Stegostoma tigrinum: one gene and its partners. The protein of the gene in region 3 purifies or fractionates together with the protein of the main gene of each other region. This does not show direct contact. Links are inferred from orthologs where the notes say so. Each region holds a gene or a part of one and is shown on either strand. Other genes may lie near its edges.

Region 1 (7,209 bases), on a different chromosome or scaffold from region 3:
CTGACAGTATAGCCTAAATATTGGGCATGCTTTTGCTCTCTCTGGAGGCACAGACTTGGGTCACGACATACTGTAAGTGCAAAGGTGAGGCCCCATATCTCAGGAAGGATGTACTGCTGGCCCTGGAGAAGGTTCAGAGGACGCTCACAAGAATGGTCCCAGAAATGGAAAGCTTAACACATGAGGAACGTTTGAGGACTCTGGGACTATACTCATTGGAGTTCAGACAGATAAGGGGGGATCTAACTGAAACTTTCAGAATACTGAATGGCCCAGACAGAGTGGCAGTGTGGGGGTGGGTGGGGGAGGGGGGGGCGGGGGTGGGTGGCGGAGGATGGGCGGGGGGTCTGGGGCTGTGGGGGGTTGGGTGTGGGTGGGGTGGGGGGGGGTGGGTGTGGGTGGGGTGGGGGGGGTGGGTGTGGGTGGGGGGGGTGGGTGTGGGTGGGGTGGGGGGGGTGGGTGTGGGTGGGGTGGGGGGGGTGGGTGTGGGTGGGGTGGGGGGGGGGGTGTGGGTGGGGTGGGGGGGGTGGGTGTGGGTGGGGTGGGGGGGGGGTGGGAGGTGTAGGGGGAGTGGGGCGGGGTAGGTGGGTGTGGGTAGGTGGGTGTGGGTGGGGGGAGTGCAGACAGACGGGGTGGGTGTGTGGGTGGGGGGAGTGCAGACAGACGGGGTGGGTGTGTGGGTGGGGTGTGCAAAGAGATTGGGTGGGTGCGTGGGTGGGGGGGAGAGGGAGTGCAGACAGACAGACAGACAGGGTGGGTGGGGTGGGGGAGGACAGACAGACAGACAGGGTGGGTGGGGTGGGGGAGGACAGACAGACAGACAGGGTGGGTGGGGTGGGGGAGTACAGACAGACAGGGTGGGTGGGGTGGGGGAATACAGACAGACGGGGTGGGGGAATACAGACAGACGGGGTGGGTGGGGTGGGGGAATACAGACAGACGGGGTGGGTGGGGTGGGGGAATACAGACAGACGGGGTGGGTGGGGTGGGGGAATACAGACAGACGGGGTGGGTGGGTGGGTGGGTGGGGTGGGGGAGTACAGACAGGGTGGGTGGGGTGGGGGAGTACAGACGGACGGGGTGGGTGGGGTGGGGGAGTACAGACGGACGGGCTGGGTGGGGGAGTACAGACGGACGGGGTGGGGGGGTGGGGGGGTGGGTGGGGGAGTACAGACGGACGGGGTGGGGTGGGGTGGGTGGGGTGGGTGGGGGAGTACAGACGGACGGGGTGGGGTGGGGTGGGGTGGGGTGGGGTGGGTGGGGGAGTACAGACGGACGGGGTGGGGGAATACAGACAGACTGGGGTGGGGGAGTACAGACAGACGGGGGTGGGGGAGTACAGACAGACGGGGTGGGGGAGTACAGACAGACGGGGTGGGGGAGTACAGACAGACGGGGTGGGGGAGTACAGACAGACGGGGTGGGGGAGCAGTGAGTGAAGGGCAGAACAACAGGGCATGGTGGGGGAGTGCAGACAGACGGGGTGTGGGAGGGGGAGTGCAGACAGACAGGGTAGGATAGGGTGGGGTGGGAGCGCAGACAGACGGGGTGGGGTGGGAGCGCAGACAGACGGGGTGGGGTGCGGGGGTTGCAGACAGATGGGGTGGGGAGCAGGAGGTTGCAGACAGATGGGGTGGGGAGCAAGGGGGGTGCAGACAGATGGGGTGGGGAGCAAGGGGGGTGCAGACAGATGGGGTGGGGAGCAAGGGGGGTGCAGACAGATGGGGTGGGGAGCAAGGGGGGTGCAGACAGATGGGGTGGGGAGCAAGGGGGGTGCCGACAGACGGGGTGGGATGGGGTGGGTGAGGTGGGGGATTGCAGACATACAGGGTGGGGTAGGTGCAGTGGGGTTGCAGACATACGGGGTGTTGGGGGGAGTGCACACAGACGGTAGGGTGCAGACAGACAGGGTGTGGGGGAGGGTGCAGACAGACAGGGTGTGGGGGAGGGTGCAGACAGACGGGGCATGGGGTGGGGAGTGCAGACAGACGCGGTGTGGGGTGGGGGAGTGCCGGCAGACGGGAAGTGAGGGGGCGTGGCGTGCAAACAAACGGGGCGGGTGGGCATGGGGTGCAGACAGGCAGTTGGGGTGCAGACAGATGGAGTGGGTATGGGTGGGGTGCAGACAGACAGGGTGGGTGAGGGTGGCGTGCAGAGACACGGATCGGGTGGAGGTGGCGTGCACACAGACGGGGCAGGGGGTGGGGTGCTGACAGATGGAGTGGGTGAGGGTGGCGTGCAGGCAGGGTTCGGGTGCAGACAGACGGGGCGGGTGGGCGTGATGTGCAGACAGGCAGTTGGAGACAGATGGAGTGGTGTGGGTATAGGTGCAGATAGACGGGGCGGGTGAGGGTGGGGTGCAGATAGACGGGGCGGGTGAGGGTGGGGTGCAGATAGACAGGGCAGGTGGAGATTGTCAGACAGACATTGCGGGTGTCTGGGGGATCGTCAGACAGGCATTGCAGGTGTCTGTGGGGAGGTGTCAGGCAGACACTGGGGGCGGGTGTCAGGCAGACATTGGGGGGGGTGTCTGGGGGCGGGTGTCAGGCAGACATGGGGGGGGTGTCAGGCAGACATGGGGGGGGGTGTCTGGTGGTGGGTGTCAGGCAGACATTGGGGGGTGTCTCAGGGTGGTGTCAGTCAGACAGGGATGTAGCCAGGCCTACCGGCCATGGTGTCTGGAGCGGGGTCAGTGTAGGACCCAGACCCTTCCTTTCCTCTCCCTGGGCTCATTGGCGAACCCCGCCCCCAACGAGGCCTCCATATTCGTGCCGCGCTTGCCATTCACTGCACCGGCCCAACCGTCTCCACCTCGAATCGGGGAGAATCAACAGAAAAGTTTCCCATTGCTCAGGACTCCCTGAGCTGCCCCAACTCCCACTCCCATGTCTCGGTTACTCACAGAGGCCGCTGGAACCAGTCCCAGCGAACATCGTCCCGTGGCCCCGCCCACACGCGGTGACCACGCCCTTTCTTCCTCACCCCATCCCCAATGTTGACCACGCCTCTCGCCTTTGACCACACCCTTCCCCGCCAAGACCACCCTTCATCTAGACCCCACCCCTCACTTTGTCCCCGCCCCAACGTCATTGTCACGCTCCTGGCTCTAAAACACCTGCTCGCCCTCGCCCCACATGTTCGCTCTGACCGCGCCTCCCATTCCAGACCCCGCCCCCTCGACCTGATCCTGGAGACTGAAACATTCATTGGGACTGATACTTGTATTCACGTCGTAGTAATTTTATCTGACAATGACGTTTACACTGACTGTGTTTTCTCACTAACAGTATTTTCTACACTAATAACATTAATTACTATTAATTACAATTAATAGCATTCATCACTATAAATTACTATTAATAGTATTCATGTTCATAATTATTAGAGAGCTTGATTTAAAGAGCCATATTTGGCTAATACTAATAGTTCTATTAGTAGTAATAAGTATTTGTTTAATCCGGAACAAAAGGTCATAGTTTTAGCACAAGGTGAAACACTTTTAAAGCAGAGATGAGGAGTAATTGCTTCTCTCCAAGTCATGAATCTGGAATTCACTATCCCAGATTGAAGCGGATGCTAGCACATAGAGTAAATATAAAGAGAACATAGATTTTTAATTAGTAACAGTTTGAAAGGTTATCAAAAACAGGCAGGAAAGTGGAACTGAGGCCAAGATGAGCTCAGCCGTGACCATATTAAACAGCAGAGCAAGCTCAATCAGCTAAACGCCTTCCCCTAGTTCCTATGTGTGGTAGAACAGAACTTGACTGCTGCTGAAAAAGGAGATATATCTGTCAAAGCTTTTTCTTCTTGCTCTCAGTTCTGTTGATGATATCATTAATAAATAAAATCCAATTCAGGGAAAACGCATCATTAAAATTTATGACAGGCAAGTACTGATTGGTTGCAAGTGGACTCAGATTGTGAGAAAGTTTGGTCTGCAGATGCAGCAGTTAATGTTGACTGACAGTAAACTGTAAAACTTTGCTTACATTTTAAAGCTAGTAGGTTGGCTCCTATTGGTCAAGTTATTATCCTGAGATATGAACCAGAAAATGGCTGTTGTTATTATTCTTGGGTTGAAACAGGTTGCATGTGTACATTTCCTTCAAGTTTGCAATATGCAGGGCTCTTTGTCTTAATATATTTAACTTGTAGTATACACAAGTGCATGACATTGCTAGCCTGACTGATAATCTTAAATTGGTTATCGGCTTAATCCTTCATCCCCTCAGAATTATCCAGCAAGTGTTGTCCAGTCGCAGAATCACATCTAATGTTGGACATTGTTTTGTGAATTTCACAAGTGTGGCTGAGTGGGTACAGTCATTAATTTGCTTGTTTCATCCAGGTGGAGAGATATATTCCTTGATGCAATCCTCCAGTCTTTGAACACATGGCCTATATACCTAGCAACACACAAGCAGTAAAATTCATACACCATTATCCAGCTGTGCAATAAGCAGAGTACCCTTTTAGTGTAAATGTTATTTTCACTTTTCTTTGGTATGTTTTATGACTTCTTCTGATGAATGCAAGGTGAAATGCTCTAACAAACTGTGTCTTTTTAAACAATATTCTGTGACAATAGTTAATACAAACAACAGTAATAATTATATAGCTTTTTTATGAGTGATATTTATTCCACGTCAGTAACATTAATACTAATAGTAATAGTTATACTCACTAGGAGTACGCTCACTAGTACATACTAAGAAATTGGTACTTGTATAAACTTCAATATTGAACATGCATTAGTTAGATTGGTATTTATTCAGAGACAGGTAATGGGATAGCCCATGGTTTGAGATACAGTGAGGAGACTTCTGCAGAGAAAGATATAAGTTATGTCGGGAAGAGCTGAGAGAAGAAGTCACAACTGGGAGCACTGGCCCTAGTACATGGATCCAGTGAGACAAAAAAAATTCAACCATTGGTCATGTGGCTAGGTACGTTCCCTCTCAGAAACACACTTCAGACCTCCACTGCTACCAGAAACGCAGGAAGCAGCTAAATTGTTACCCAATTATCCCATTGCACTCACCATCCTCTTTCTTGGTAGGAATCTACAGGCCTGCTTGGTAGAGATAAAGCACTTACTGTTGTCCTAAATAAGAACTATGGTATTGCATGAAAGCAGCTAGTAGAAGTGACATTATGTAATAGAATCTATTACAGAAACTATGAGATAGACCCAGACTCATGTTGCACCTGATCGGGTTTCCCATGAAAGCCACAATGACAGCACTTTACTGGGTGGTGCTTAAGGCAATATCAATATTAATCCTTTCAGACCCTTGTACCTTTACCCAACATAAATCTGACATTGAAAACCGCCAGCATGATGAGTAATGGTGACCATGAAATTAAGGAATTGTTGTAAAATACATTGAGTTCACTAATGTCATAGAAAACGTACCGTGTGGAAAGAGGCCATTCAGCACATACTGAACTTCCAAAGTGTAGCCAACCTGGGCCAGGCCCTTTAGTCCCATGTTTATCATTACTAATCCATCCATCCTACACATCCCTATAACAGGACAGGGTTTTTTTTAGCATGGCCAGTCCATCTGCCCTGCACATCTTTGGACTTTGAGAGGAAACTGAAGTACCCAATTAAACTCACACAGACATGGGGAGAACATGCAAACTCCATGTAAACAATTACCCATGGCTGGAGATGAACCTGGGTCCCTAGTGTTGTGAGGTAGCAGCACTAACCACAGAGCTACTCTACCAACCTACATCTGTTAGATAAATATTTACTGTCCTTACCTAGTGTGGCCTTTTCATGTTTCCTATATCACAGAATTGTGATTTTACTTCTCTCTAAGATGACATCGAAAGCCATTCAGTTAAGGGTTGTTAAGGATGGTCAGATATAGGCTCTACCAATGGTACCCACATCCCACAAATTTCTTTTTTATACCCCATCCGTTTGTTGTTTTGCTTGACTCTTTTAGGTTTAACTGGCTCAAAATACCAAAACATACAATTTGTAGAACTAATAAGCTTGCTGGCCCAATGGCCTCTTGTGAACCCCATTAGGTTTTGCATGGTTTCTTTCTGCAGTTAGTACCACAATCCACCAGATGGCAATATTTATTTACATTGTAAACTACGTCCATCTCAAATCATTCACCATGCATCTCGATAGTTCTGTTAATGAATCTTTGATTGTAAAAGAATTTAGGCTGAAGAGATAATTATATTCATGCCATTTAAAACTAGATACCTATCTCTAGTAACTTGTTGCAGGTATCTGTGAAGCTGATTTAGAATGGATAACCGAGTTACGGCACTATCGTTGAGTTGAAAGATTGGAGATGCTGCAATGGTTCTCCTTAGAACTGAGAAGTTAAGTGAGATTTTAATTGAGATGTTCAAAGTTAAGTGACTTGATAGAGTAAGTAAAGACAAGCTGTTTCTACTGGCAGGAGGATTGCTGACGAAAGAAAAATAGGTTTAAGATAATTGGTGAACAAATCAGAGATGCTGTAAGAGGAGGCTATGCAATGTTGGACATGACCCTATTACTCACCTTCATCAAGTTAGAATTTTGCCCAATAGCAAATTCTGAAACTGAACTTGTCTTTTGCACTGTTCCTTTTTATTGAATTTATTTGGAAGAAATTCTGTTTTATCTTATCAACTGTAATCAGACCCGTCATTGATCTTTACATCACTCATAGCAGGATTAAGCAGAATATGTGCAGACAAAGACTGTCAAATCATTACATGACCAATTGTTAAATGCATTGTTATGACTGAGGTTGGAGGAGTGCACTCCCACTAAGGTAAAAAATGCTCTTTCTCATCACCAAGATAATAAACCAAAAACCTTATCCACATTAATAAGCACAATTTGGGATTTATTTTCGAACCAAGAGTTATTCAATTGCAACAATTGGTTAATATATTCATAGAGTAATACAGATGTATAAATATGCTTCCTATAAATATTCCCAAAACACACGGACCCAAACACTCTTCAGGAAAAGAAGGGATAAAAAAAACAAATAAATGCCTGAAGAGATTGGTTTTCTTATTAAAATAAAGTGCATTTTTGTCAATTGATTATTCTTGAAGACAAAAAGATACAGCATACGATGTTACAAAATCTATTGCATGAATACTTTTGCATATTTGGTCACATCAATGATGTTGTGTGGTTGCCCCTGAAGTCTTGCAAATATAACTTGCTCAGAA
Region 2 (7,348 bases), on a different chromosome or scaffold from region 3:
TTCTGATTCAAAAGCCTACAGCCTGATGGTCTAAACATGGAGCTCACCAGTTTCAATCTCCCCAAACCCCAGCCTCATCCCATGTCCAACACTCCCTCTCATCCCTACCTCCTTGACCTGACATATCCTGTCCATCTTTTCTCCCACCTATCTCACTGACCAATCTCCACCACTGCCTATCATCTGCACTCACCTATCACCATCCCACCTACCTTCTTCAGCCCCATCCCTCCTCCATTTATTTGAGATCCCTCTCCATTTCTGAAGAAGAGTCCTGACTCAAAACATAACTTTCTTGCTCCTCCAGCTCCAGTGTTGTTTCTGACTCCAGCATCTGCAGTTCTTGCTATCTCTTCATCATGGCACACTACATCACCACACATTTTAAAAATGGATGTGTATTTACGTTGCACATTTCACAACAGACAGACAACACAGAGCACTCTATAGTTATTTTAAGTATTTTTTGAATAAAAAGGGTATTGTAATGGAGGGCAAGCAGCAACCAAATGCATGTCATAAGCCTCTATAAACAGCGATGTCATGATGCTCAGGTGTTTTTTTTGTGATTTTTGGTGACAGGTCAACTCGCTTCCTCATTTTGAATGTGCGGCACAATCTTTTACATACATCTGAATAGGTAGATGGGGCCTCAGTTTGATATTTCATCTGAAAGATGGCACCTCCAGCAATGTTGTGCTCAGAGGACTGCACTGGAGTGTAAGAAAAGCCCTGCTGACACTCAAGTCTTGGGATTAGACTTGAACATGGACATTTGACACTCAGAGGCAGGATCTTACAAACTGAACCAAAGCCAGCATTCAAAAACTTAATTCATACATGTATTTCTGGCTACAAAAATCCTATTTCAAATTGTTATTTTTTGTGTTATGTTTTCTATTACTAATCCATTGTAAATTCTTGTGCCGACTTTTGTAACTGTCCACACCATCACACCAGTGGTAGTGTTTGAGTGATTCAGTTCTGTATCTTCTAGTTTCTCAATCTTTAATGCAGACAGTGTTCCAAAGGGGTTCCTTTTCTACTTTCCAATTGGTAATGTTTTCATTTTTAAAACTATAAACATAAAATCAAGGTGTTATACAAATGGACATAAAACAGCTCCCAACCCACTGTCTGGATTACATTCCATAGAGATTTCGTTGTGGAATCTTCAAACTTTTCTGTTCTCTCCAAAAAAAAAATGCAATCTAACCAGCTGGAGTTTCCAGTAGTTCACCTTTCGTTACTGGATTTCACTCATCTCTATCTCCAATCATTGCATCTATATTCAAACTTTCTCTGAAAACTACTACTTGACATCACTGGCACAAAGCTACAGCACAGTGACCAACTTTATTTTTAATTTTAAAACATTTACGTAAATAGCTGGCACTAACTTCCTAACCCACACTTACATCATACAACAGCTGATCACTAAAGTGTCTATTTTCCAATCTCCCAACTAACTCATTTGTCACTACCATTACAGCCTTAAAACTGCAATGAAGTAGTAATTAATGTTTTAAAAAGTAAGTCACAATTTTCATTAATCTAGCACCTATAAAATGCCCACAGTACTACAAAATCATTGTGTGCTTCAATCCAGATAGATATCTTTAAACTCACAAGTTGTGTACAAGATATAATAAAGCATTTACTGAACTCTTACTACCTTAAATAAATATTTACATGCATATAGTACTTCAGATTGCAAGTAATTCATATCATTTAGACAGTCTTCAATTTGTAGTCTCTTTTCAAATGCACAAGTTACAGCAAAGCTTCTTTATTAAAACAAAAACAGGTTGTTCAAAAATATTCAGTGTGTTTCCCCAGCTTCTTCAAATTATGCAGACATATTAAAATTCCCTCCCCATGCAAAACTGCCAACTCATTCAGGGGTCTGAATCCAGAGGGCAGCAGCACTTTGGTCGAGCTAATCTTAGTGTTCATTCAGGATGGGATGAGCTAATTTACTGACCAGGGATCCTGGCCAACATGACTGAATCCAAAGTGTGTCCTTTTCTAAGTGACTGAGCAATTACGTGACCATATAATTTCAATCCTACAGTTAGACAAATTGAACGTCATTGAATGAGCAAGAAGAGCAATTCTGAATACTGACATTTAAAAGTACAAAATCCACAATGGTCGCGAAATCTGTTGCTCAACATTTGACTATGCAGCAGTGTCTAACTGCTGAAAATTGGGCAAACGGCAGAGGCCAAAAACGCAGCTTTGGCTGTGAACGAGCGCCTCATACAGACAAACAATACTGACAGTGCAACACAGAAGGATTAGGCAACTGTGGTGGCTGCATTCTCCAAAAAGTTGTGGTAGTCAACATAATGGACTAGGAAGCAATCACAACTCGATATGGTGCATCAGGCAGAGACTCAGTTTAACTGAGTAATCACTTCAAACCGGGCAGCAAAGCAAATCTACAGTCCACGCACAGACTAAATAATCAAACGTTGGTGCAAGTCATGTTGGAGGTTACATCGTGTCATTTTGTGAGTGGTCGAAAGAACCCCACATCTTTCCCCGGCCTCCAGCTGGCTGAGGCATGGAGGGAGAGGGGAGGGATCTAAACCCGATCTGCTGCCTCACTGCTCCGACACCGGAGACGTGTGGAGATGCTCCATTCCAACCCCAGGGACAGGGAGGGCCGCTGTCGGGGCCTTGGCCTGAAGCTGTCAACCCCCACTCCTCAGTCCGGGCCTGGCAGTTAAGTGGGAAAATCAGGGACCTCTCCAGTCGGTCGTGTCCCAGGTCAGGTAATAAGGACGGCCCACCAATGTTAGGCGGGAGGCCTTCAGGCCCCGAACCCGAGCAGGCTGCAAGAAGCTCGCCGAAGATGAAGCCGTTACTCACAATGTTTTCCGCCATGACACCCCCCGGGAGCGGCTCCTCGGCCTTTTACCGAAATTTGCCTTCCAACTCCTCCGCGTGTCACCACAAAACCCGTCCGATGCTGCACAGCGCAAGGTAACACTCCGTTCCGAGGTATATACGTTCCCCCTTCTGTACAACGCAGTACAACGTTGACAATGCAAAAACAAAACTTAGCAATTTACGTACAAACTACCACACGCACAGTAATTAGTTATATTTGCGCAACCTATCCTAAAATATTCCAGCAAGTTTACTTCCATTTCGTTTCCCCATAAAATTATAGAACAGTTAACAGTTTTTTGAACTTTGATACCACATATCCTAATGAGATGGACAAGTTAACATTAATTTTCTTAAACTTTGCACACCCGTTAAAAAGCAGATCCGTCGGAACATTCACCAATTGGACAACTTTCTGTGCATGATGTAGTAGAAGTGCAGTGTAGTTAACAAGATGTGCTTTTATCAAGTAAGTCCAATATTAGTCAATGTGGGACCAAAGCTTAAAACCGTGTTACAAATACCCAAGATAACAAAGTGTGAGGCTGGATGAACACAGCAGGCCAAGCAGCATCTCAGGACCACAAAAGCTGACGTTTTGGGCCTAGACCCTTCATCAGAGAGGGGGACGGAGGGAGGGTTCTGGAATAAATAGGGAGAGGGGGGAGGCAGACCGAAGATGGAGAAAAGAAGATAAGTAGAGAGGAGAGTATAGGTGGGGAGGTGACAGGTCAGTCCAGGGAAGACGGACAGGTCAGGGAGGTGGGATGAGGTTAGTAGGTAGGAAATGGAGGTGCAGCTTGAGGTGGGAGGAAGGGATGGGTGAGAGGAAGAACAGGTTAGGGAGGCAGAGACAGGCTTGGGGGGGAGGGGACGAACTGGGCTGGTTTTGGGATGCGGTGGGGGAAGGGGAGATTTTGAAGCTGGTGAAGTCCACATTGATACCATTGGGCTGCAGGGTTCCCAAGCAGAATATGAGTTGCTGTTCCTGAAACCTTCAGGTGGCATCATTGTGGCACTGCAGGAGATCCATGATGGACATATCGTCTAAAGAATGGGAGGGGGAGTTGAAATGGTTCACGACTGGGAGGTGCAGTTGTTTATTGCGAACCGAGCGGAGGTGTCGGCAAAGCGGTCCCCAAGCGTCCGCTTGGTTTCCCCAATGTAGAGGAAGCCACACTGGGTACAATGGATACAGTATACTACATTGGCAGATGTGCAGGTGAACCTCTGCTTAATATGGAAAGTCATCTTGGGGCCTGGGATGCGGGTGAGGTAGGAGGTGTGGGGGCAAGTGTAGCACTTCCTGCGGTTGCAGGGGAAGGTGCCGGGTGTGGTGGGGTTGGAGGGGAGTGTGGACCGAACAAGGGAGTGACAGAGAGAGTGATCTCTCCGGAAGGCAGACAAGGGTGGGGATGGGAAAATGTCTTGGGGTCGAATTGTAGATGGCGGAAGTAACATTATCGCAACATTTTAATAGGGAATTTACAAAATAATCATGTATGTATCATTCCTAGAATTGTGTGTAAATTTACCAAAACAGGCCATTCAGATTTATTCCAATGTTTTAACCCTGTACATGCTATGTCTTATCCTACTTCAGCTCACTGCATCAACATATCATCTATTCCCGTTCTGCTCCTGTGGAGTAAGTGGCCAACTATACCTTTATTCCACTGAGTGTGTCTGTAAGGAGTAATGCCCATCATGGTGTCAGATGATACGGAATTGGGCTCTAAATGCATTGGTTTCCCAGGGATGTCTTCTTTACCATTTTCTTATATATCGTTAATGTAAAGGTGGTTGATGTTAACTGACATGGAAGCAGATTACCTTCTATCAATAACCCAGATTTAATCTCAAAACATGTTGGCAAGTGGTGACCAGATCCACAGAACTCATGGCATATGTAAAGAAGATGCTGCCTGATCATAGTATATAAGAGATTACTGCAGATTAGAGATCTTCACAAAGAGGAGAAAATAAAATGTTTTCAGTTGCCATAACTCTTCAAGAAGAAAAATACTCAGCAGTATAAAGCTGAGTTTTATTTCTTGAAGATAGAGAACTTTCCTGGTGCCAGACCACTTGAATGTGACTCAGTTCAATTCATTAATAGGGAGCTACCAATTTGCTGGTAAGATAAATAACACTGAGAGAAAGGCCTTCTCTTGGGCTACTGGACCACATTCAGTGCCTGTGACCAGATCCTGTATTAGGTCAACTAGGACGAATGGTTTAGTTGATACCAGATTGCCATTGACCTCAAAAATATCAGATAAAGACCAAATCAGTGTATTGTTGTACGTGATCAATAGCAGTATTGACACTATTTTTATCAGGTCAGGCACAGAAAACACACTGTTAAATATGATGATGTGATCTAGTTCTTTGATTCTTATTCTAGTTAAAGACACAATCCCATCAAAGGGCAAAATTTATCTGGTAGAACAAAGAGCTAGGGAAGTCTATTGATTCTTCTATAAATAATTTATATCAGCCAGGTGCTAACTGCCAATAGGGAAGATTGAGAGATGAGCTCATGAAGGGACTCTATCAGTGTGCAAGTGTTTGATGGAGCTCTTTTGAGAAATTTCAATTTAATCAGAATCCCTGCAGCGTGGAAACAGGCTATTCGGACCATCAAGTCTACCCTCCAAAAAGCAACCCAGCCAGCCAGACAGCATTTCCCATGGTTAATTCACCTAGCCTGCACACTGGGGGCAATCTAGCACAGCCAGTCCACTTGAACTGTACAGGTTTGGACTGTGGGATGCAACTGGAGCCACCTAGAGGAAACCCCTGCAGACATGGGGGCAAATGTTCAAACTCTACACAAGCAGTTGCCCAAGGGTGGGGAATTGAACCTGGGTCCCTGGTGCTGTGAGGCAGCAGTGCTAATCACTGAGCCATTGTGCTCTCCTCTAAAATTCTGTTTTATATGAGGAAAGGCTGTGCAGTTCACCAGATTGTACTTTGCAAATAAAGCTGAGATTTTATTCTTGAAGACAGAGAACTTTCCTGGTGCCAGACCACTTGAATGTCACTCAGTTCAATTCATTAATAGGGAGCTACCAATTTGCTGGTAAGATAAATAACACTGAGAGAAAGGAGCACCATTTTCTGTCATTGTTTCTTGTCTGTGCTATTAGGATAGCTTCACATTGTCAACAATCCCACCCAACCAGCAATGCTGAGTATCATTTTAGGCTGAGTTGTGAAAAAGGGTCACTGGACCTGAAATGCTAACTCTGGTTTCTCTCCACAGATAATGTCAGATTTGTTGAGATTTTCCAGCGATTTCTGCTTTTGTTGCCAATTTAGGCTGGTTCGATAAAGTAACAATGAGGATTGTCTATTTGCTGGACAGAAGTTGAAAAACACACTGCCCCATTCTACAGTTATCAAAGAAGTAAATGCTGCCAAGTCTCAAGACATATTCTTCTGGGTGGTGGGGTGGTCTGGTGGTTCCACTGGCATGTATATCATGTTTAGTAGAAAATAAATTGGTATTAAAGTGGATACAGAGGAAAGCATAGCCATTCTTTCTGATTCACCACTATGGTCGAAGCTTAAATTCTCCACCTGTGTCCAACTAAACCTCAAGGTGTAGGAGGCATTACAATAACAGTGCGAGGGCAGATGCAGGTTATCCTTTTCTAGAATGGAATGGAGATTATTGATACTGTGTACATCATTCCCAAACAGCATTGTTCTTTATAAAACGGAGCTGTGCAGGTAACATAGAAACTTTTTTATTCCCATGCTGCAGCTGAATTTAAATAAATTCATTTCTCGACAAGAAATTGACTCCTTAATCTGCAAGCCATTTTTCATTGAAGAACCAACGTCCATAGGACCACAGGAGGATGTGGCAGATTTCTCACTTACTTTGAGGAAAGGTAGGAGAAGCAGAGAATAGGATTCACCAAAAGTAACAGTGACCTGCAGCAAAGTTACCTCCATTTGCTCTTACAGGAATGAATGGCAGAGAATGAGACTGACATAAAAGCAGACTATCCAACTGATGAAAAGGTCTGGAACTTTCTACACTGTTTGACCATAAAATTCATGACAATTTAGCCTCTGCTTTCTTTTTTGAGCCACCTCATGTCTGTTGGAAGAGGTGAGGAAGAAATGAATTTATCTGCTTTTCCAATGACCTTGCTGATTACATGCAACAAACAACTGACAGCAGCCAGCAAAAAAAGTTATCCAAGGAGGATGAAATATTTAACTTTAACTTGGATTCAGCCTTTGTTGAATATTCAGTTATTACTAATCGACAAAAGAAGTCAGTTGAAGCCTGAAAGTGAGTCTCACTAGCAAGTCATGGACAGTTGAGAAATACTTTATAAAAGCTTAAATCTGATTATCAAATTGAGATTAATGTATTAAAATAAAGCAAACAGTTCTGAAGAAGACTCATGCCAGATTCTGTTTCACCCTC
Region 3 (7,798 bases):
AGCCTTCACCAAAAACTCATGTTTAGAGATCAGTTGAGGAGCTGGTTTAAATACTTAAGTATTCAAATAATATTCAAAATGACATACAAAAACTGAAGTTGCTGGAAAAGCTCAGCAGTCTGGCAGCATCTGTGAAGAAAAAAAAAACAGAGGTAATGTTTCGGATCCAGTGACTATCCTCAGAACCGATGGTAGCTGGAAAAATGTTGGTTTATATACAGAAAATAGGAAGGGGAATGGGATAGGGAGTAAATGATAGGATAGAGCCTGAACAGAGGTCTTCTGTTTTCATTCCTGACTTACAGGATCTGCAGTTCTTTCAGTTTTTAACTCAAAATGACGTTTCTAATTAAACATTGAGTGTGGCAGTTCAGCGATAATTGATTCAATCAGCTAACATTCAGTACTGAACAAGCAGGTATTTCCCATGCCTAAGTATTGCGATCACTGAAGTTTGTTACCACCAGAATCTTTCTTCTGCAACAACCTTTTCCATCTCCGTACCTGCCAAATTTGAAAATAGAGGAAGATTATGCACAACTTTGCAATTGTGTTTGACTCCAATGAGTTTTCTATCACATAGCCATTCCATTTCCCAAGATGATATACACATCCACGTCTGCTTCAAGTAAATATGCAGATGACTCTCATCTGTACTTGAGATATAGTCAAGCTAAGACAATGTTCCTCTTGATGGACACCTCTGTTCCACCCTAATAATCTCATCCAAAGCTAGACTGCCTATCAATATTTTGGTTGCAGAAAGCAGCAGAGTACATCAGCAACAGCTTAACCATGTTAAAAATAAACCCTTGCTTTAAAAACCCTCCATGGTCTCATCTCACCCCATCTCCATAAGCTTTTCCATTCACACAAGCATCCAAGATTTCCACAATCGAGGTTTTAGCCTATTGCATGTCCACTTTTAATTGTTCCACCACTAGGATCATTCTTTTAGCTGTCAAGCCCCTAACATCTAAAATTCCTACATAAGTCCGCTTGGGTTTCCTCCTCCTTCAAAATTAAGTTTTCGACCAAGTTTTTGGTCACGAACCCCTCTTCCACATGTCTCCCCTGCAGTTATCCATGTTGTAAAAAAAAATTGTCGTTCAGTGCCTTGGGGCATTTTTCTACATCAATGTTCCTATACAAACAACTTGAGAGTTCCTACGGTGAAGTGGTAGTGTCTTACCTCTGGGCCAATATATCACGGTTCAAGTCCTACAAGTTCCTGTTTGAAAAAGTTTCCAGGCTGGACAACTCTATGACTGATTCTAAGGGGATTTGTAATATCCATCCATCAAGTTGTTACTAAATTGCCTCTACAACTTAAAATGTAATTTGTACCTTAGGGCCAACACAAAAAATTTTGCGAACCCTGGAGGCTAAGGGTATGAATGTGGACTGCACAAGCTTCAAAATCACCCTCCCCCGACTGCATCCCAAAACCAGCCTAGCTACTCCCCACCTCGCTAGCCATTCCTCCCATCTCAAGGCCCACCCCCATCTCCTACCCACTAACCTCATCCTGCCTCCTTGACCTGTCTGTCCTCCCTGGACCAACCCATCCCCTAACTCCCCACCTACATTCACCTTCACTGGCTCCAAACCCACCCCTTTGACCTGTCTATCTCCTCTCCACCTATTTTCTCCTTCATCCATCTTCTATCCGCCTCCCCCTCTCTCCCTATTCATTTCGGAAACCCCTTCCCCTCCCCCATTTCTGAAGAAGGATGCAGACCTGAAACGTCAGCTTTCCTGCTTGGCCTGCTGTGTTCATCCAGCTCTACACCATGTTATCTCAGATTCTCCAGCATCAGCAGTTCCTACTATCTCTACAAAAAAATTCTGATTTGTCATTTCATTCTCTGTCTCTTCCTCCACTCAACAACACCACCCACTCTTTCAAAGAAGGTATGAGACTGTGCTGCAACCACTCTATGACCTATCTCGTGGCTGAAGCAAGAACAAACAATTTGAGGAAACTTCCTGATAGCTAGCGATGCATTCAATTTCATCCATTCTTGCCTTGCAAAATGCTTATCTGGCAGTACAAGAATCTCACCTTTTGCAATATCAGATCTAATGCAAGACTTTATATATCACCTGAACTACACATACAGGATACAAATGTAAAACCATACGGTTACAGTGTCTGGCTTGAAAATCTTTTAAAAAATTGTTGAAAATTCAGAGAAATACTTGCTCATTAAGATGAGTTCAGCCTTTTCAACTTTCAACTAATTGATGTAATTCTTAAGTTATTGTTTCATTTAATGTAATGTTCTTCTTTTCCAAGGGATAGAATTTCACAGACCCCTAACATTTACAAAGTTTTAACAAGTTCCAGATAGTTTGCCACACACTTAATAAAATCACAAATTAAATACTCTACACTAAGCTTAGCATACATCAGTCCTGCAAAACACAAGCTTATTTCATAAGTGAACATTTCACGACACAGTCACATTGCTTCAAAAGCAAAAAGGATAAAAGTTAAAATGTTCCAAATGCTCCACAGCTGCTGTCAGGCCAGCTGGAGTTTTCCAGCAATATCTCTTTTTGTTAAAGTTAAAATGGTTTCAGTTAAGATAATCACCAAATGTTTATTCAGCATAAAATATAGATCCAGCTAATTCAATTTTTAACACTATTAGGGTTTTAACTGTTTAGAATTTTGTAAATGGAATTGTAGTTGACAGTTTTTTTTCCTTGCTCTAAGTGAATTATGCCAGATGGAGGGTTACCAGAAAATGTTGTGAATACAGAAAATGCCACAGGTGCAGAAGCTTCAGCCCTTCAGCAGGACTAAATTAATTCAATTAACGAATTAAAAAGTACCTGAGAATGACGACTCACGTCGCCCTCTATGGAATTCTGTTAAGTTTGATGAATTTACCTGAAACTGCAACAGTTTCTCTGTTTGTTCTTGCGTTAGTTCCTCCTCTTCATTGCCAGGCGCCGCCATCTTGGATCTTGCGTTCCAGGCCCGTGCGGAAGTAGATGATTTTTGGGTAAAGTCGCAACCACGAAACGCAAAAAAAAATGCGGCCCAACCAGTAGTTGAGTTCTGAAATTGCACCAATATTTAAAAATGGTACGAGGTATTTTTACGCATCGGGTTTTGGATTTCGATGCATTCCAGCACAGATAGTGGGCCGGTTACGGAAACAACCGACGCTCTTCGGTAGTTCTCGGAATCGCCCGGCGCCGACCTTAACAGTTGATGGAGTTGTGGCGCCTGGGTTGAGAGGTTGCAAGTTCAATTCAGTGCAGCACGCGATTGGTCATGAGAGCTGGGCCGTGATTCCAGAACTTTAGCCTGGGATGCCGGAACCTTCGCCCGGGAGTTCTAGAATTCTACAACACTCTACACATATTCTACAACTCGTATCCGCTTATTTTACGTTTAATACCCGTCGCAACACGTGTCTCTGGAGGTTTCCTCCCCTTCCTGCCATCCTTAACACTGAAGATGGGTCTTGATGTAGGAGGCTGAGCGCAGACAAGATTGCGTTGCCAACGCACAAAAATACTGACAATAGTTGAAATACGTGGGTGGAAAAGATGTTCTTTGAAGTTAGACATGTTAGATATAGAATGATATGACGCTAATGTTTGCAAAGTAGTTTTCCAAGCGATTAATGTTCAGACTTCTATCTGAGAGTTTTTTTTTAGTCGTGATTAAACAATGACTTTTGAATCACGTTTTGAAATTCTCCATTCCGGTTAAATTTGCCTTCTGAGTTCATTGCCGTCTTAGCTTAACATTTCCCTCCATGTAAACTCCCCAAACCACATTTGCACCCATCCATTGATCTTGCAATTAATCTTACACGGCCTCAATATTCTCATGCCAGTTACTTGTTTGTATTGCTCTCCACTTGCATCCCATTTCCAACGTTCCTGCCTCTTGTATATACTCACAGAAAGCTTCTTCAATTTACACTCAACAGCTGTGCTTTCAAAATCCCACTACTTAGCCTCTGTTCTTCAATTAAAACAAGTCAACTGCACCTACACCTCCAGGCTTGATATTCTACAATTGCCATTAGCGGCATGAGCCTCACCCTACTACTTAACGGCGATGAGCAAAGGGTAACAGACTTGAGTAGACATGGCAGACAACTAGTTTAGGTATTCATTGTGAGATCTTACCTGAATGATGCTGCTGCTGCTAGATCTTGCTCTCCTAAGCCAAAACTGCTTATTTCACCAGGATAATTCTAATAAATAAACATAAACAACAGCTCCTCTTGTTCACTGCAAACTATCTTAATCCCCTCCGGCTTGCATCCATCAATTGCACCTCTGACAACACTTTTACGATTTCAAATTCTCAGGCTGTCTCAAAGTACTTTACAACAAATTAGTTACTTGTGTAGTTTTGGAATTTAGAAACTATGACTGCCTATTTGTGCACAGCAGTCTGCCACAAACAGCGATTTGATAACGAATGTTCTTAAGTTAATTCGTGACTAAGTATTAGCAGGGAAACCATGATTAACATCTTCACTGCCATGCGATTGTTCTGAGAAATCTGTGAAGGGCATCTCTGACAGTTTAGTACTTGATTTTTGTGCTTAAGTCCTGCAGCAGGACTTGAAATCATAATGCCTGATTCAGAGGATGACAATACTACACACTAAGCCACAAATGACTGATACTATATCCCCAACTGCCCTTATAAGTTCATCTTGTCCATTATTCCCACCTCCTACTTCCTGGTCACTTTTCCACTAAACTGTTGACCAACTTCCTTTCTATGATTCCATGTTAGTTGACTTTATTAATGGCTCTGTCTTCTCAGGTACTATTCTACCTGACCTAAAAACAATCCTTCATTCCTGAACTTCATCCTTACAAACTGCCACTCCATTTTCAAACTATATTTCCAAGATCCTCTAACATTCTTTTGTCAATTAATCTGTATTCATATTTCTCAAAACTTCATATTTGAATCCACCCAAATTATGTTTCTATGGCTGCCTAATTGAAATAGTTCATCTCAAAGTTATAAATGACATCTTATTTGTGAGTGACAGTAAAATATATTTTTATTCTTCTAAATTTGTCTGCACCCTATAATTTTGAATGACCATAAGAAGTTCTTCCAATGCCTCTTCACTGTTGGCTCACTTTAATAGAAAACTTTCCCAGTTTCATCCTCATCTATTTAATTTTAACCTGACAATAACCATCTTCTTTTGAACTGTTACCTTTGACCCCTACCTATTTCTCCTCTACGTCTCTCCTCAGTGACATGATCAGGAAACACTCTCGATTTCCACGTATATACTGATGATAAACTACTCACATTTCTCAATCCTCCACACTCTCTAAATGATCAGATTGTTGATCCAACAGAAATTTCTTCTCAGGAAATGAGCAGACATTTCCTCAAATTCTATATCAGGATGACCAAAATCATTACATTCAGATCCCCACACCAACCGCACACACATTCCATGCTCCATTTCCTAGCCACTGATTCAGTCTCCATGGCAACCCTCAGAAGCTGAACCCGACTCTTTGCAATGTAGCATCAATCCAAGGTGAGTTTCCAACTACCTATCTGCCCAATCACTAAGTGTGCTTGCTTCCACATTGCAACATCATTGGTTAACATCCCTTAAATCATCTGCTGCTGAAATCCTTTCTAACCAACTGTATAACATCTATAATTATTCAAATGCATTCCTGGGCAGCTTCTTATTACCCTCAGTAAGCTTGAAATCACCCAAATCTCTGCTGCCGGTGTCTAAGCTCAGACTAAATCCTGTTCATCCATCACCACTGTGCTCACTGACCAAAGTTGTTTCAGATTTAAGCAATTCCTTAATTTAAAATATTTCATCCTTGTTTTCAAATAACTCCACGGCCTCACCTCTCCCTCTCTGTGTCATCTCTTCCAACTCTATGACTGTCTAAGGTACCTGCACTTTTCAAACTTGACCTTCTAAACATATCCATAATTTCTGAGTTACCATCACCCTAGAATTCCTTCCTTAATTTTTTTTTCCTTTAAAGCATTCCTTAAAACCTACATTTTTGACCATCCTAAAATTTCCAGTGATTGGTCTCAAATTTTACTCATGTTTCTATGGAGGTACCTCAGGAATTTGACGATCTTAATTGCAGTATGTAAATACAAATTCTTGTTAAAACACTATTTTCAAGAATGTCATTATTAATAAACAATAAAATAGATATTTTGTCTCGGCTCAAATAACAGTACTTGTTATGTTCTATTAACTGACCTGAAATAGCCAATAGTCTAGACATGTTTTCTGTTAAAGCATAGGAGACATCAACCCAATTTTAAAACAAAAACTGGCAAAAACAATTGCTTTCTAGAAGGACAAAACTAATCAAATCCTAAATCCTACAAAACAAACACCCTTGGAGACTTTTCTTGGTTAGTGTGTTGTGTAAATACTATTTGACACAATTATTATTTCCATTATCTGTTACAAATTCCTGCAGTTTCAGCCTAGAAAACTTCACACCTACTGGCAGCCTTCACCAGCACTACTCAGGAATTGATGTAGCTGTAGACGTGAAGGAACATGGTTCTGACAGCTCCATTGAAATGTTGTGAAAGCTAGGTCTGGAGTAACTAAACGGTAAGTTGACATAGGTCGCAATATTATGACTTAGTCTATTAGGTTGTTGTTTCCTTTTTAGAATTTGGAAGTTTATCTCCTGTGACCCTTTGCTAATTTTTATAAAGTTGATGAAGACACCAAGGCAATCCAGTGTTATCATGACTAGCCAGTAAGAAGAGTAATGAGACAGGCAGTCAAACATTCCTTGGCTGGAAGGTAAAACTCAAAATTAAATCCAAGGATCTCTGCTTCGTAAGGCGAGTGGGTGGGCATTGGAGGAGGATAGACATGACGTTATTAGCTTGCATTCCACGCTCAAATGGTTGAGCAAGATTCAGCACATGCACACACTGACAAAATAGCAGGTTAAGCAACTTACTGGAATGTGACTGGTGGCCCATGAAAGTGCACATTTTGAATGGATCATTGAACTAAGGTGAGTGGAAGATTAAATATCCCCAAATGTAAATCATATCTCTCTACGTGATGTTAAACTATTCACTGTGATACAATTTCCCTTAATTGAAACTTCATGTTCTCTTTCATTGTTATCAATGTTAAGGGGTCTATTATTGGTCACATTGTACGTGAATAAAATGAGTAAACCTTAAGTATTTATTCATTTAAATGAATCAGACTGTAAAAATGTCTCAAACAAAACTTTAAAAAAACCCAATATGAATAACTTAATAGCTGATTTAATTCAGCCGTGACTACAATTCAGATGACTCTCCACCTTGCATAGTAAAGCTGGAAATGAACCATAATCTGCTGAATGATGACTGAAAGTATGGCTTGTGGTAAAAATATAGAAACTAGATGGTCAGCAAGACATTGCATTTATATCACAGTGAGCATAATAAAAACTCCCAAGGCACTTCACGAAAGCACAATTGGACAAATACTGATACTGAGCCAAAAAAGATATTCTATCTTCAGTTTTTCTGACTCATCTGGACATAAACTGGTCCCGTATACACAAACACTATACAAATTAATGCTGGAGAAAATTCATTATTCCACTCCCTAAACAGGAAAAGATATCTAAATTAAAATTCAATCTATCCAAAAATATCTAGTTTCATTGGCCCACTATCGTGCTCTGAAAAAGGTTTTCCCTATTTGCTTTGAGAATTCCTACAGTATGGAAGCAGGCCATTCAGCCCATTGAATCCACATCAGCTGTCCAA
Region 4 (7,418 bases), on a different chromosome or scaffold from region 3:
TGGAATCGAACGCAGGTCCCTGGCGCCGTGAAGCAGCAGCGCTAACCACTGAGACACCGGGTCACCAAGTTTCCTTCCCCTTTTTTAAGCTGATGTGAAGAGCACTGTATTTTGTTTGAATATATTTGACAATAAATGATTCAATTCAATTATTGTGAGTAGCTGAAGGGGCATGAAGCAGGATTCTTTATCCCAAGGGCATCAGATCTGATTTGGATTGATTTATTGTTGTCGCTTGTACCTAGGCACAGTGAAAAGTTGTGTTTTGCGAGCAGCACAGGCAGATCATACCACACAATGATCATCGGGTGACAGATCAGGGTGAGATATACGATGTAGTGGTTACAGAGGAGGTGCACAAAGAGCGAGATCAACATTTGAATTTTGGGAGGTCCACTTAGAAGTCTGATAACAGCAGGGAGAAAGCCCTCCTTGAATCTGTTAGTATGTGTATTTAAGCTTTTGTATCTTCTGCCCTCGTGGTGTTATTGCTAGACTATTAATCCAAGAGACCGAGGTGATGTTCAGGGGATCCAGGTTCGAATCCCACGACGGCAGATGGTGGAATTTGAATTCAATCAAAACAAAATCTGCAATTAAGAGCTACCGAAGACCGTAAATCTGTGGCTGAATGTCGGAAAATCCCATCTGGTTCACTGATGTCCTTCAGGGAAGGGAATCTGCCCTCCTTACCTGGTCTGGCCTACATGTGACTCCAGACCTACAGCACTATGGTTGACTCCCAGTTGCCCTCTGAAATGGCCAAGCAAGCCAATCAGCTCTACCAATCGCTACAAAGTCTCAACGAAATGAAACTGGTCGGATCACCTGGCATGGCACTGTAAAGGAAAATGGCAGAAACAGCCCTGTCGACCCTGCGAAGCCCTCCTCACTAACATCTGGGGGTTAGTGCCAACACTGGGAGGGCTGTCTCACAGACTAGTCAAGCAACCGTCTGACATAGTCACATTCACAGAATCACACCTTACAGACACTGTCCCAGACACCACCATCACCATCCCTGGGTATGTCCTGTCCGCCACCCGGCAGAACAGACCCAGCAGAGGGGGCCGCACAGTGGGATACAGTTGGGAGGCAGTTGCTCTGGGAGTCCTCGACATTGACTCCGGACGACATGAAGTCTCATGGCTTCAGGTTTAACACGGGCAAGGGAACCTCCTGCTGGTTACCACATACCGTCCTCCCCCAGTTGATGAATCGGTACGCCCTCCATGTTGAATATCACTTAGAGGAAGCACTGAGGATGGCAAGGGCACAAAATGTACTCTGGGTGGGGGACTTCACTGTCCACCACCAAGAGAGGCTCGGCAGCTGTCCTACTGATCGGGCTGGTCGGGTCCTAAAGGACACAGCTGCTAGGCTGGGTCTGCAGCAGGTGGTGAGGGAACCAACAAGAGGGGAAACACATATTTGACCTCATCCTTACCAATCTGCCAGCTGCAGAGGCATCTGCCCATGACAGTATCGGTAAGAGTGACCATCTCACAGTCCTTGTGGAGACAGAGTCCCGCCTTCACATTGAGAATAACCTCCATTGTGTGTGTGGCACTATCCCCGTGCTCAATGGGACAGACTTCACACAGATCTCGCAAATCAGGACTCGGCATCCCTGAGACGCTGTGGGCCATCAACAGCAGCAGAATTGTACTCCTGCACAATCTGTAACCTCACAACCTGGTGTATCCCCCACCCAACCATTACCATCAAGCCAGGGGATCGACCCTGGTTCAAAGGAGAGTGCAGGAGGGTATGCCAGGAGCAGCACCAGGCAGACCTGAAGGTGAGGGATCAATCTGGTGAAGCCACCAGACAGGACTACTTGCACACCAAACAGCGAAAGCAGCAAGTGAGAGACACAGCCTAGCGATCCCACAGCCAACAGATCAGGTCTAAGCTCTGCAGTCCTGCCACATCCAGTGGCGAATGGTGGGGGTCAATTAAACAACTCACCGAGGGATGGGGCTCTGCAAATATCCCCGTCCTCAATGATGGAAGAGCCCAGCACATCAGTGCAAAAAGTAAGGCTGGAGCTTTCGCAGCAATCTTCAGCCAGAAGTGCCGATCTATCTCGGCCTCCTGCAGTGGTCCCCAGTGTCACGGATACCAGTCTTCAGCCAATTCGATTCACTCCACGCGATGTCAAGAAACGGTTGGAGACACTGGATACTGCAAAGGCCACAGGCCCGGAGAGCATTCCGGCAATAGGACTGAAGACTTGTGCTCCAGAACTTGCCGCTCCCCTACCCAAGCTGTTCCAGTGCAGCTACAACCCTGGCATCTACCTGGCAATGTGGAAAATTGCCCAAGTATGTCCTGGACACAAAGAGCAGGACCAATCCAGCCTGGCCCTTTACTGCCCCATCAGTCTCGATCATCATGAAAGTGATGGAAGGTGTCAGTAACAGCGCTATCAAACAGTACATGCTCAGCAGTAACCTGCTCAGTGACATCCAGTTTGGGTTTCGCCAGGGCCACTCAGCTTCTGACCCCATTACATCCTCGGTTCAAACATGGACCAAAGAGCTGAATCGCAGAGGTGAGGTGAGAGTGACAGCCCTTGACATCAAGGCTGCATTCGACTGAGTGTGGCATCAAGGAGCCCTAGAACTGGAATCAATGGGTATCAGGGGCAAACTCTCCAGTGTTTGGAGTCTTAGGTGACACATAGGAAGATGGTCGTGGTTGTGGGAGGTCAGTCATCTCAGCTCCAGGACACCTCTGCAGGAGTTCCTCAGGGTAGTGTCCTCAGCCCAACCATCTTCAGCTGTTTCATCAACGGCCTTCCCTCCATCATAAGGTCAGAAGTGGGGATGTTCGCCGATGATTGCACAATGTTCAGCACCACTCGTGACTCCTCAGGTACTGAAGCAGGCCATGTTCAAATCCAACAAGATTTGGACAATATCCAGGCTTGGGCTGACAAGTGGCAAGTAACGTTCATGCCAGCCAAATGCCAGGCTATGACCATCACCAATAACAGACAATTGTCCCTTGACATTCAATGGTGTTTCCAACACTGAATCCCCCACTATGATTGATCAGAAACTCAACTGGACTGACTACATAAACACAATGGCTACAACAGCAGGCCAGAAGTGTTACTGCGGTGAGTAACACACTTCCTGATTCCCCAAAGTCTGTCAACCTTCTCCAAGGCACAGGTCAGGAGTGTATCAGAGATTATGGGAACTGCAGATGCTGGAGAATCTGAGATAACAAAGTGTGGAGCTGGATGAACACAGCAGGCCAAGCAGCATCTTAGGAGCACAAAAGCTGACGTTTCAGGCCTAGACCCTTCTCAGAGAGGGGGATGGAGGGTCTCTGATGAAACATCAGCTCTCCTGCTCCTAAGATGCTGCTTGGCCTGCTGTGTTCATCCAGCTCCACACCTTGTTATCTTGGCGTCTTTGATGACGTTGGTTGCATTTATCGTTACAAACGTGAGGCTAAGCCAGAAAATTGGCGTAGTTTGAAGAATTAAGCACGTGCTTGAGGTTTGGTTGAGGAAATCCATGATTGGTTTGACTGCTCCAGCTGCCCCACTCGGTGCCCAGACTCACCGTCGCCAACTGGAGCTGGAGGTCCCAATTACGTGAAGAAAGGCCTTGTCTCTGTGATCAGAGCCTGGGAATCGATGATCTAGCCGAGCGAGGTCAGAGGTTTTGCTGCACTGAAAATAGCTGGGTGTGGACCACCTGCTGGTTCATGCAGATGGCCATTCGGCCCTTCCAAACTTCTACCCCACTCCACAACAGGGTGACCATTGTCACTGGCCAGCCCATGTCTCTGCCCATCCATTGGTAGAAGGTCCTATTATTGAGCTGGATGGGCGGGACTGCAAATGTTCCAAAAGCCGATTGGCCGGCTTATCAGTCGATCAGGAAGAATTGCCAATCATTACGGAGGGGCTTGGAGATGGTTGGGCGAGCGAAACGTCAATTACAAATGGGCGGCATAATCGGCGGTGACTGTTACCCTTCCATCTTCCCATTGGCAGGGGAGGACGTCGATAAACGGGTTGGTATGCGCGGGAGTCCAGTGGCGTTCTCCGTCTGGGAAGACAACCGCTCGATTGGCTGCTTCCATGTCGATCGCGGCTGATAAGGTGGGACCACATGCGATTGGTCAAGACTCCAGCATTTCGATGCCCATGTGGGTGGGTCCTCATCGCATTGGACAAGACCACCGTCGATCAGGAGGAGAGGAGGCTGGACCCCATTTGACTCATCTAGACATCGGTCAATCAGACGCTGCGGGGGTGGGGCCTCATTCAATTGGGCCGCGTGCCCGTCACTCGCGGACCGTGGGGGGCGGGGCCGGCACCGATTGGCCGCGGTCCCCGTCAATCCGGTTGGCCGGCAGCGACGTTGGCCAATCCCCGTTCAAGGTGGGTCGCAGCCCGGCGTGTTTGGGCGACTCACCAGCAGCCGTCTTTTCAAAACATCCTTTCACTCGGGGGCCTGGGAGGCGGCGGAACGGTGATGCACTTCAATTAAAACCATGTAGCCTTTCCACCGCAATTTGCAAAGTCACACAGAGCGAGCGAGCCTGTTAAAGAAATTTAGAGAAGCCGCGGCCTAGTGGTTAGGCGCTAGGCCCAGCCTCACGGCTGCAGGAGAAGGTGAGATGCTCGGATTGTTTTCTTATTGTTTGTCTCCTGCAGGTTGGTGCGGAGGTTCGCTCGTCGTCTTCTTTAGACTCCACGTTCCCGCACTGCGGCCGGGTGTTTCTGCCTCCCGGAGCCTTTAATCTTCCCATTTTTTTTCTTTCACTTTTTTTTCAAAATTGCCTCGGAGAGCCGTCCACTGGAGTAGTGCGGCTGCGCGAAAGGGCCGTGCGCTGCTGCACCGCGCGTGAGTATGCGCGTTGACCCCGCGGAGCATGCTGGGGATTGTAGTTCCTGGCTCCCCCTTTTTCTCTCTCTCTCTCTCTCTCTCTCTCTCTCTCTCTCTCTCTCTCTCTCTCTCTCTCTCTCTCTCTCTCTCTCTCTCTCTCTCTCTCTCTCTCTCTGTGTCTGTCTGTCTCTTTCTTTCCCTCTCTCTCTCTGTCTCTTTTTTGTTTCCCCTTTTTCCCCCAAATCCTCCCTTTCACCAAATCCCCCCACCCCCCTCTACTGTGGCTCGAGGAATCAGCCCTATGTAATATTGCCTGTGAATAACCCAATTCCTGAGAAAAAGGTCAGAATGTGTAAGAATCTTAGGATCCCTACAGTGTGGAAACAGACCATTCAGGCCAACAAGTCCACACTGCCCCTCCAAAGAGCATCCCACCTAGACCCAATCCCCTGCCCTGCATCTCCCATGTCTAACTTATGTCACCTAAACTTCCCCAGGCACTATGGGCAATTTAGCACGGCCAATCCACCCTAAACTGCACGTCTTTGGACCTGTGGGAGGGAGCTGGAGCGCCCGGAGGAAACCCCACGCAGACACGGGGAGAACGTGCAAACTCCGCACAGACAGTCGCCCGATGTTGGAATCGAACCTGGTTCCCTGGCACCGTGAGGCAGCAGTGCTAACCACTGAGCCACCGTGCTGCCCATATGAGCACCATGCCACTGGGTGGTCTCGAGCCACCAATTTTAGTTTCAAGCTAGGCCATTTCAGATCCACCTGTTATTGTGGTGCATTCACTAGTTTTTGGGCCTGACTAAACAGATTCTGCCCTGGGAAATGTTGAAATAGGAGCTTGAGTGGTTATATCTGACCCAGCAAGCCTGTTCAATTGTCCCTTCCTATTTCCTTTGTCACTTATTGTCTCGAAGAAACTTCTTTGCCTTAAATACATTCAGTGACTCCACAGTCTCAAATCATAGAAAATTCTGCCACATTATCAGTGAAGAAATTTCTCACCTCTGTATGAAAGCAGCAGCTCGGTGCCGCAATGGTTAGACAATAGACAATAGGTGCTGGAGTAGGCCATTCGGCCCTTCGAGCCAGCACCACCATTCATTATGATCATGGCTGATCATCCACAATCAGTATCCTGTTCCTGCCTTACCCCCGTAACCCTTGATTCCACTATCTTTAAGAGCTCTATCCATCTCTTTCTTGAAAGCGTCCAGAGAGTTGGCCTCCACTGCCTTCTGGGGCAGAGCATTCCATATATCCACCACTGTCTGGGTGAAGAAGTTTTTCCTCAACTCTTGTTCTAAATGGCCTACCCCTTATTTTTAAACTGCGTCCTCTAGTCCTGGACTCACCCATCAGCGGAAACATGCTCCCTGCCTCCACAGTGTCCAATCCCTTAGTAATCTTCCACGTCTCAATCAGATCCCCTCTCATCCTCCTAAACTCAAGTGTATGCAAGCCCAGTCGCTCCAATCTTTCAACATATGATAGTCCCGCCATTCTCGGAATTGACCTCGTGAACCTATGCTGCCCTCCGTTAATAGCAAGAATGTCCTTCCTCAAATTGGGAGACCAAAACTGCACACAATACTCCAGGTGCGGTCTCACCAGGGCCCTGTAGAGCTGCAGAAGGACCTCTTTGCTCCTATACTCAATTCCTCTTGTTATGAAGGCCAGCATGCTATTAGCTTTCTTCACTGCCTGCTGTACCTGCATGCTTGCTTTCATTGACTGATGCACAAGAACACCTAGATCTCGTTCTGCTTCCCCTTTACCATCTCAATGGAGTCAAGTTAGGTAATCTGCCTTCCGGTTCTTGCCACCAAAGTTTATAACCGCACATTTATCCAAATTAAACTGCATCTGCCATGCATCCGTCCACTCACCTAGCCTGTCCAAGTCACCCTGTATTCTCATAACATCCTCCTCACATTTCACACTGCCACCCAACTTTGTGTCATCAACAAATTTGCTAATATTACTTCTAATGCCTTCGTGTATATCATTAATGTATATCGTAAACAGCTGCGGTCCCAGCACTGAACCTTGTGGAATGCCACTGGTCACTGCCTGCCATTCCGAAAGGGACCCGTTTATCACTCCTCTTTGCTTCCTGTCAGCCAGCCAATGTTCAATCCAACTCTATTTTGCCCCCAATACCATGTGCCCTAATTTTGTTCACCAATCTCCTATGCGGGACTTTATCAAAGGCTTTCTGAAAGTCCAGGTACACGACATCCACTGGCTCTCCCTTATCCATCTTCATAGATACATCCTCAAAAAATTCCAGAAGATTAGTCAAGCATGATTTCCCCTTCGTAAATCCATGCTGACTCTGACTTATTCTGTTACTGCTATCCAAATGAGTTGTAATTTCATCTTTTATAATTGACTCCAGCACCTTTCCCACCACTGACGTCCGGCTAACCGGTCTGTAATTTCCTGTTTTCTCTCTCCCTCCTTTCTTGAAAAGTGGGACAACATTTGCCACCCTCCAATCCACAGGAACTGATCCTGAATCTATAGAACCTTGGAAAATAATTACCA

What was found.
Region 1: the proteins of faf2 (region 3) and ubac2 purify together in Homo sapiens (affinity purification with western blotting; 7 studies listed by BioGRID and IntAct, with this or other methods). This does not show direct contact. The link is inferred for Stegostoma tigrinum from reciprocal best matches to the Homo sapiens genes FAF2 and UBAC2.
Region 2: the proteins of faf2 (region 3) and nploc4 purify together in Homo sapiens (affinity purification with mass spectrometry; 3 studies listed by BioGRID and IntAct, with this or other methods). This does not show direct contact. The link is inferred for Stegostoma tigrinum from reciprocal best matches to the Homo sapiens genes FAF2 and NPLOC4.
Region 4: the proteins of faf2 (region 3) and setdb1b purify together in Homo sapiens (affinity purification with mass spectrometry; 3 studies listed by BioGRID and IntAct, counting the BioPlex papers as one, with this or other methods). This does not show direct contact. The link is inferred for Stegostoma tigrinum from reciprocal best matches to the Homo sapiens genes FAF2 and SETDB1.

What each region holds. Positions count from the first base shown.
Region 1 is NC_081359.1:17,621,650-17,628,858, forward strand, and holds the start of ubac2 (ubiquitin-associated domain-containing protein 2), read right to left. Parts: upstream 3,018-7,209; 5' UTR 2,934-3,017; coding exon 2,903-2,933; intron 1-2,902. UniProt on the Homo sapiens protein: Restricts trafficking of FAF2 from the endoplasmic reticulum to lipid droplets.
Region 2 is NC_081375.1:23,072,282-23,079,629, reverse strand, and holds the start of nploc4 (nuclear protein localization protein 4 homolog), read right to left. Parts: upstream 3,014-7,348; 5' UTR 2,893-3,013; coding exon 2,878-2,892; exon of another isoform or gene 2,297-2,877; intron 1-2,296. UniProt on the Homo sapiens protein: The ternary complex containing UFD1, VCP and NPLOC4 binds ubiquitinated proteins and is necessary for the export of misfolded proteins from the ER to the cytoplasm, where they are degraded by the proteasome.
Region 3 is NC_081366.1:45,949,835-45,957,632, forward strand, and holds the start of faf2 (FAS-associated factor 2), read right to left. Parts: upstream 3,024-7,798; 5' UTR 2,969-3,023; coding exon 2,900-2,968; intron 1-2,899. UniProt on the Homo sapiens protein: Plays an important role in endoplasmic reticulum-associated degradation (ERAD) that mediates ubiquitin-dependent degradation of misfolded endoplasmic reticulum proteins.
Region 4 is NC_081400.1:5,507,172-5,514,589, forward strand, and holds the start of setdb1b (histone-lysine N-methyltransferase SETDB1-B), read left to right. Parts: upstream 1-4,404; 5' UTR 4,405-4,642; intron 4,643-7,418. UniProt on the Homo sapiens protein: Histone methyltransferase that specifically trimethylates 'Lys-9' of histone H3. H3 'Lys-9' trimethylation represents a specific tag for epigenetic transcriptional repression by recruiting HP1 (CBX1, CBX3 and/or CBX5) proteins to methylated histones.